2 linked regions of the Notamacropus eugenii genome follow. The protein of the gene in region 1 interacts with the protein of each later gene in a pairwise test. Links are inferred from orthologs where the notes say so. Each region holds a gene or a part of one and is shown on either strand. Other genes may lie near its edges.

What was found.
Region 2: the proteins of NUMBL (region 1) and SPSB3 interact in binary tests that used the Homo sapiens proteins (3 or more experiments, as listed by UniProt). The two-hybrid records come from large-scale screens. The link is inferred for Notamacropus eugenii from reciprocal best matches to the Homo sapiens genes NUMBL and SPSB3.

Annotation. Positions count from the first base shown.
Region 1 is NC_092876.1:30,927,705-30,931,604, forward strand, and holds the start of NUMBL (numb-like protein), read left to right. Parts: upstream 1-923; 5' UTR 924-1,146; coding exon 1,147-1,194; intron 1,195-2,510; exon of another isoform or gene 2,511-2,625; coding exon 2,626-2,713; intron 2,714-2,948; exon of another isoform or gene 2,949-3,044; coding exon 3,045-3,184; intron 3,185-3,900. UniProt on the Homo sapiens protein: Plays a role in the process of neurogenesis. Required throughout embryonic neurogenesis to maintain neural progenitor cells, also called radial glial cells (RGCs), by allowing their daughter cells to choose progenitor over neuronal cell fate.
Region 2 is NC_092872.1:48,808,906-48,812,805, forward strand, and holds the start of SPSB3 (SPRY domain-containing SOCS box protein 3), read left to right. Parts: upstream 1-1,673; 5' UTR 1,674-1,696; coding exon 1,697-1,813; exon of another isoform or gene 1,814-2,035; intron 2,036-2,367; exon of another isoform or gene 2,368-2,793; intron 2,794-3,900. Other genes in the region: cytosolic Fe-S cluster assembly factor NUBP2, read right to left, coding at 1,226-1,241.

The sequences.
Region 1 (3,900 bases):
ATCTGTTGCCAAAGGAACAACCTCCCTGCCCCCCCACGTGCTGGCCACCTGCTCTGCTAGCTGACAGACTGGCCCCTACCCCCCCATATCCCAGCTCCCCCTAGTGGGACTAGGGGACGCCCAGGGGGCACAGCTGGGCCCTGGGGACTAGAGAAGAGGGTTGGGGGTGTAATGGGTGGTGCCTAAGGCAGGGTCCCTTCTGTGTTCATTACTGTTGCCCAAAGGTAGCTTGGTTGAACTGGCTAGCCCGCTAATGGATCTTAATGCCCAGGTCTGGCGGCAGTTGCCAAGCCCATAGGATGAAGGGGTGCCTGGAGCTGCCCCAAAAAACCCCACCCACCTCCCAAAGGCCCATATTCTTCCGCAGCCACAGTTCCCCCAAGCCCCGGGAGGCTGCAGGGGTGGGTGAGGGCCCTAAGAACAGACTTGACCGGAAAGATCCCCAGAACCCTGAACCACCCCGCCATCTAAAAATGTGCCCCCCACTTGGGGGGCTTGGGGTGTGAGGACGGACAAAAAAAAGCCATTGTGGGCTCCCGGACTGAGGAGTCCTGGAGTCAAAGGGCATCGCGGAGCGGAACCCGGGGATTGGCTGGGCAACGCCTGGGAGAAGCAACTGTTACTGACGAATATTTTCGGGGGGCGGCTTAGGGCGGGGTCTAGGAGCGCAGGGGGAGGAGGGGCTGTTTTGCATATTGAGCAGGCACTGGGCCAATGGGCGGTGTCTTTTCACATACTGAGTGGGCGGTGGGCCAGTGAGGGGAGGTGGGCCAATGTGGGGGGGAAAGGGGCGTGGCCAAGCGGCCGGGTCGGACGTGGCGGAGGGGAGGGCTAGGTCTTCTTTTGCATATAGAGCGGGCGGCGGGCCAATGGGCGGGGACGGGGGTGGGGTTTTAAGGGCGAAGGGGGCGCTGTGAGGGGGAGTCGGGGCTGGGGCGGGGGGGGGGCGGCCCCCCCAATGGAATCCTCCCGGGAGCCGAGCAGGCGCGTGCGTGTGCGGCCCCCACCATCCCCCGGCCTCCGTCCCCGTGCCCCGACTCCGTCAGTCGGCACCGCTGCTGCAGAGCTGTCCCGGGGCCGGGCCGGGACTGGAGGGAAGCCGGACCCACCGGGGTCCGCAGAAGGCGGGGGCGCCGGGGCCCCTGGATGTCCCGGAGTGCGGCGGCAGCCCCCGAGAGGAGCGGAGCGAGCGCAGTAAGCGGCCTGCGCGGTGGGACTGGGCCGAGTTGGGCCGGGCTGGGCCGGGCTGGGATGAGATGGGGTGAGATGAGATGGGGTGGGATGGGATGGGACCCGAGGACTCGGGACCCGAGAAGGGCTCAGAGAAAGGGAGACTCGAGGACGGGGATGCTGCGAGGGGGCCCGGGGATGGGAGGGGGGCTCTGCAAAGATAGCGCCCCCCCTGCCCCGTCCAGCCCCCTCCCCTTTGTCCCCACTCGGGCTGTCCTCGGCCTCAGCCCAGCTGTTGTGGAGGCGACTGAGAGCCCCGCCCGCGGAAAATGCGGGCCTGCCTCCCCCCAACCCCCAATCCAGTCTGATCCGATCCGACCCGATCCTGGAGGCCCGTGAAGAGAGAGAGCCGGGGGCGTCTCCCTGTCACCTGTCACCTTCAGGGTCACTAGCCCCCTACCCTCGGAGCCAGCTGTGCAGGACGGATACCTCTGCCTGGTCTTGGGTGCCCTATGTGATCGTCCTCGTGTGTGTGTGTGACTTCCAGATAGGCTGGGGAACTCTTGTGGGTCTGTGCCTCTGTGTGTGTGTTTGTCTGGCTGGGAGACAGGTTGTGACTTTGCAGGTTGTGTGTGTGTGTCTTCCGTGGCTGTCTGTTGGTCTGTGGGTATGGTGCTCTCTCCCTGGGCCTGTGTGTGAGGGATAATGTGTGATTTTAGACCCTGTGGCTATCACTGTAGATTTCTGTGATTGTCTCCATATTCTGCCTGCGGGAGTCTGTGCTGTATGTTTGTGTGTCTGCGATCATGTGTGGCTAATGGCTAAGACTGCATGTTGGTGCGCTTGTAGCTCCAAGGCCTCTCAGTGTGTCTGGGTGCTAGGTTTGTGTGGCTGCCTGTCTGTGTGGGACTGTGCCTGCCTGCGGGATTGCTGCTCTGTCACCTGAAACTGTCCCTTTGGGAGAGTGTCTGTGTTGCTCAGGGTGTGTCTTAGTTGAAACAGACTTAGGCCTTCCCTCTATACCCCTAAAGCTCCGAGCCCCTTCTTTTTCCCTAAGTGGATGAGCCATGTTCATTTCTGAGCCCACACCCTATCTAAGATATAAGTGGGCCGCTGTCAGCCAGGCCCATGGAAAGGGGTGTTCCCTGGGAGATAGCTGGGACAACTAGGAGGATACAGCTAATACCCTCTTTACCTCTACCCTGTCTTTACCCCTACCCCCTCATTCCTGGGGCCTCATAACCATGGGAATGGTCTCCCTGGTAACTGTTGCTATAGCAACCAGGGCAGGAGTCAGGCAGGCCAAGGCAAAAGGGGCAGGACTCCTTGGTCCCTTCCAGGGGCCTATGCCAAAGGTCACAGAGGTGGAGCAGGGATCAGTGTGTTCCAGGCAAGGGGAGCTCCATGAGATAGGGGAACCCCAGACCCTCAAAGCCTGGTCCTGTGTCTGGGCAGGAAAGGCCCAGGAGGGCCCATCAGCGTTTGTCCTCAGCCCCTCCTCGCCTGGCCCTGGGGCCCCCCCAAACCTTCAGGACGGAGCCCGGTGAGTGAGTACAACAGTCTGGTGGGGAGAGGGGTTGGGGGAAAGCCCATGGAGGCCAGGGAGACTGAGGGAGGTGTCTTAGTGGGGAGCTGGAAGGGAAGCAAAGTCTATAGGAAAGAACCCCTTTGAAAAGCTCCCAGCCTACCTGGGGAAGTAGAGCCCAGTCAGGAGCAGAAGTGATAAATCCGTTTAGTGTCTGGGCCCCTCAGCTGCCTCCCCCATGGTGCTTGGGCAGATGCATCTACAGGAAGCCACAAGCTCAGAACTAAGAACCACAACCACTCCTGCTCCAACTCTGGCCCCTGACCCTGAAGACCCTCCTTGTCCCCAGACGGTGCTGGCACCATGAACAAGCTGCGTCAGAGCCTACGGCGCAGGAAGCCGGCCTATGTCCCCGAGGCTTCCCGCCCGCACCAATGGCAGGCTGATGAGGATGCTGTTCGGAAGGGCAGGTGCAGCTTCCCAGTCAGGGTGAGAGTGGGGGGCACCAGGGTGGGGCAAGAGCTCTGGGATCCCAGGGGAGTTGGGAAAGCAATGCTCTAGTCTCTTTCCTGTGTGCGTCAGGCCCAGGGCAAATTCCTCTCTCTGTTAGACCTCAGTTTCCCCTTATGTAAAAACAAGGGAATTGGGCTGGATGACTGCAGGGTCCTTGCTAGTTCTGACAATCTGCAACTCAAGATGAGGTTATGTCCAGGATAAGATGAGGGATGAGGAGATGGGAGATGAAAGGACTGAGGAGATGGGCGATGAAGGGATGGAAAAATAAAGAATGGAGGAGAGATAAGACTGGGGAGATGGGGAATGAAAGATGAAAAGATGAGGATGAAGGGATAGAGGCAGAGAGGATGGAAGGATGGAGAGATGGGGATGATGAAAGATGGAGAGGTAGGGGATGGAGGGATGGAGAGAAGTATGAAGAAATGGAGAGAGGAGAGATGGAAGGTGAGAATGGACAAATGAGGAATGAAGGAACGGAGGCTGGAGAGAGGAAGGGACAGAGAGCTGGGAATAATTGCTCTCCATGACATTTGCAGAGCTCATTAAGCTTTGCAACATAGTTTACGTACATTATTTCATTTGATCCTTACAATAGCTTTGTGAGATCAGAGGTGCTATTATTATCTCCATTTTACAAATGAGGAAACTGAGGCTGAAGCAGTTAATCCACCTGCCGAGGGTCATATAGC
Region 2 (3,900 bases), on another chromosome or scaffold:
GTGTACCACCTGCTGATCTTGGGTGTCCAGATCTTGGCGAAACTGATTGCAGTTTACCTGTATTTTTACTCTGGGCTGGTTTACTCAGGGACCCTAGAAATTCTCACCACAGAAGTTATTCTAGTGTATGAGGCGAGATAGTCTCGGTATCACTGAGATTGGTTCGGATGAGAGAAGGAAAATGATGCAAGATCTGGATCAAGAATCAAAGGAAAAGGCCACAGGAAGCAAAATCTTTTTCTCTGGAAATGTAAAAAGAAATAATCTTCCAATAATTTTTCCCCAAAACTCTTTTCACTGCGTAGACAGGCATGGGTGAGGAAAGTTCCTGACCAATGTGAGCCAGCACCTCCGGTAAACCGTCAGGTATTCTAAACCCCAGTGGGGGCGTCATCCTCCCCCCAAGCCAGACTGGGGGAGACAAGGGAAGAGAAAGGACTGGATTGACAGGAGTTGGGGTAGGGGAACCCTAAGCAGCTCATGACTGCTGGAAGGGGAGTCACCGTAGGGGGCGCTGGAGGGACAGGAGCCTGGGGTGGAGAGGGGGACTGGACCGAGGGTGGGAACCGGACTGACATGGGTCACCCTGGAAGGCAGATGGCGGGGCAAAGAGGAGGGGCCGGCGTGGGCCATGAAGAGCCGCACCGGGTGTGTACGAACCTGCCTTCTTCCAAGCAAGGGAGCCTGGACGGACCGCCGCCTAGTGAGCTCCTCGGGGGAATGGGGGGGGTGGACACCAGAACTGGAGCGAGGAGGGGAAGGGTCCGCTGACGGGGGGAGGGCAGACGGAGCGGGGTCACGTGGGGGAACTAGCCCGGACAGGACGCGCCGAGCCGGACAGGGCCGGCTGAGGCGTCGGGAGTCGGGTTCCGGGGCGCCTCCACCCGCCCTCGCCCGGCCCAGTCACGCCGGCGCTAAGTTCAGACTCCCGCCCCCTCCGCCTCAGCTCCCCCGAGACCTTCAATTCAGGGGCGGCCCCGACTCCACCCCTGGGCGGGGAGGGGGAGAACCCTCATCTCCCGCGGGAGGGAGACTCCTCGCGCATGCTCAGCTACTCGAGCAGAGCGAGCCGCCGACTTCCTGGGGGCGCCTCGTTCACCTGGCTCCCGCAGACCCGCCCCGACTCCGGACCACGCAGGTGGTTTCCACCTTTCAAGGTAAGAGGCTTGGGACGGCGACTGTCTCGGGAGAGGCTCTCGGAGGAGCTCCTCCTGAACTCACTCACCCTGTGCGGCCTCCATTCTGCCGGGCGCCACCTCACGTCACAACTTCCGCCTCCATCTGCGTACACACACCCCTTCCCTTCTTCCGCCTGGAGTGAGGGACGTTTCAGCCAATCCGAAGCAACATCTCTCCCCTTCTCCCGCCTCTTTGCTCGTGTCCTCTTTTCTTAACCAATCAAATCTCCGAAGGCGTGCCTGCCACCCGGCCCCGCGACTCCTGGGAAATGGAGGTGGGCTTTCTTCTAAATCCGAAAAATTGGCTACTCCCTCAATTTCTGGCCTTCGGGCCAGTGTGCGCGGTAGACTTGGCTCTGACTTGCCCCTGTTCCTCCTATGGGGACGCGGGTTGAGGATTGACAGACTGTTTAGCCACTGGCCCCGCGAGTCCCTCCCTTCTCCCATTCCCGGAGGGTGGCTCATCCAACCGAGACGGCGATCCAGGCCTGACTTTCCTTCTCCCGGGCGAGGGACCAATGGGGTGGTGGGGGCGGGACTCGGGGAGGAGATTGTTTACGTCTCGCTCGGGAGGGGAAAGTAGGTCAGAGCGCGGGGCTGGAGCGGAGCGGAGCGCGGCGGTGGCGGCGCCTGAGGTGAGAGCGGCGCGTCCCGGGGTGGGGCCCCCGAAGGCTCGGTCCCCGCGCCTCCCCCGTTCCGTGACCCCTCCGCGCGGGTTCCTTTTGCGCTTCCTGCCCCGTCGGCCCTTCAGGCCTCCCTTTCCCGATCTCGTTCGTCTTCGCTCAGCTTTTGGCGCCTTCTCTCGGGAGCGGACCGAACGGCTTGCACCGCCCAATGGGAGGGGGTGCCAGTGGTTGGTGCGGGAGGGCCCGGGGGGGGGGCGGGGCGGAGGCCGGGCCCTGGAAGCGCCGGGCTCCCGCGGGGCGGGGGGAGGGCGAAGGGAGAATGCGGAGGGGGCGGGGAAGCCAGTCCGACCCGATGCGATGTGTAGAGGGACCCCAATGGTCCCGGCCGAGCGGCAGCCGACCTGCCGGGGAAGGGGAGCCTCGTGGTCCGCTCCGAAGCCTGGGAACTTGAAGGGAGAAGCTCCGTGGGCCGGGCCAGGCGGGGCAGGGCCGGGCTGCGTTGGCCCGGCCTCGGGCGGGGGGAGGCGGGGCCGCTGGCTTGCCCTCGGCGTGTGCACGTGTCGGGGCCGGGGGGGAGGGGGGGGAGGTCTGCACGGCCGCGGCCAACCAGGCCCTTCCTCCCGTTCCGTTCTTCCCTGTTCCAGTGAGGATGGGCTGGCGGGGACCGGGCGGGAGTCCCTGCCTTCCGTTGTTCCCACTTTCGGGGCCCCCCGGCCGGGGGCTGAGACCGCCGGTTTCTGCTGGTTCTCGACGTGGTGTTAGTGGGTGTGGTCCCGGGAGCCATCGCAGCCTCCCCCCGCGTGGGTTCAGAAAGTGGCCAGAAGAGACCAAAGGTTAAGGGAGGTTAAGTCCGGGGGTGAGGAGGTGGCTCCTAGACACGCATCCCTGGTGTGTGGTCGGTGCATCCCGGAGGTCCTGGGGGTGCCAGCGGGGGATCTGGAGAACTCCGGCGGGCTTGGTAAAGGGGGTGTTGCAGTTGTGCTTCAAAGGTGGGTAGGAATTCTACAGAGGGAGTAGAGTAGAGGGCATTTAGAAGCATCTGCCAACAGTGGGAACAGGCATGGAAGTGGAAGGGAAGGAAAAAGTGAAGTAGAGATGGAGAAGGGTGGCCCCAGCTTCTGAAGGTCACCCGGGAGGAGAGACCCTGAGCGAAGGGACAACCGAATCAGGTCTGCTTGGAAGGAAGGTCTGAAAGCTGTGCCAGGTGTAGAGGTGGGGAGTTCTGGCGTCGTCTAGTTTTACAGTCTGGAGAGTCCTTCCTTTTTCTGTCCTAAGCGTCGTTGACATCTGGGAGAATTGTTAGATCACTTGATGTTACTTAGCTTACCTTCTTTCAGGAGGGTGAATTCTCAGTGTTCTTGTCACTTGTTGCTTTGAATTTGTCTCCTTGACTTTGCTTAAGGTTGCTATCTGTGATTCGAGGTAAGGTTGGTGGGAAGGTGCTAGACTTGGGAGTCGGTAGAGTTCAAAATTTGAGTTCGAGTTCTTCCAGCATTTGTTATCTGATTAACTATCCTGAGTAGTCACGTAATCTCGTTCAACCTCGGTTTCATCCTCAAAAGTTAGGGTGATAATAAAGATCCTTCTCCACCCCTCTTGTTAGGATCAAGTGCAATAATATATGCAAAAAGCCATTATATAAATGGTAGTATTAAGAATGCCAGGAATTTGAAGTCTGGCCACGTGCCTACTTTACTTCTCAGCCTTGCTTTATTTGTAAAATGGGGCTATATTTACACTACCTCCCTCACAAAGTTGAAGAATGCACTTTGTAAAGCTTAAAACACTATAGTGGACAGAAAGTCTGAGGTGTTTTCTTTGAAGTTAAAGATGATATCAGTGTTGCATGATCATGAACATAATTTTTATTGGTTAACCGATGGTAAGCAGGCTGTGAGGGATTTGTGTTTGTCCTGAGTTTTCCAAGAGGAGCATGACATCAGGGAAATGATGACATGACGTGCAGTTGACTTCGATTTGAGTGAGGACGGTCACTAGCCTCACTTTCTCCTCCAGAGCCATCTGTGTTCAGTGACCAGATCGTTAGGAGAACTGATGGAGTATGACAATTTATTGTCCTTTTGTAGAAAAGTGTT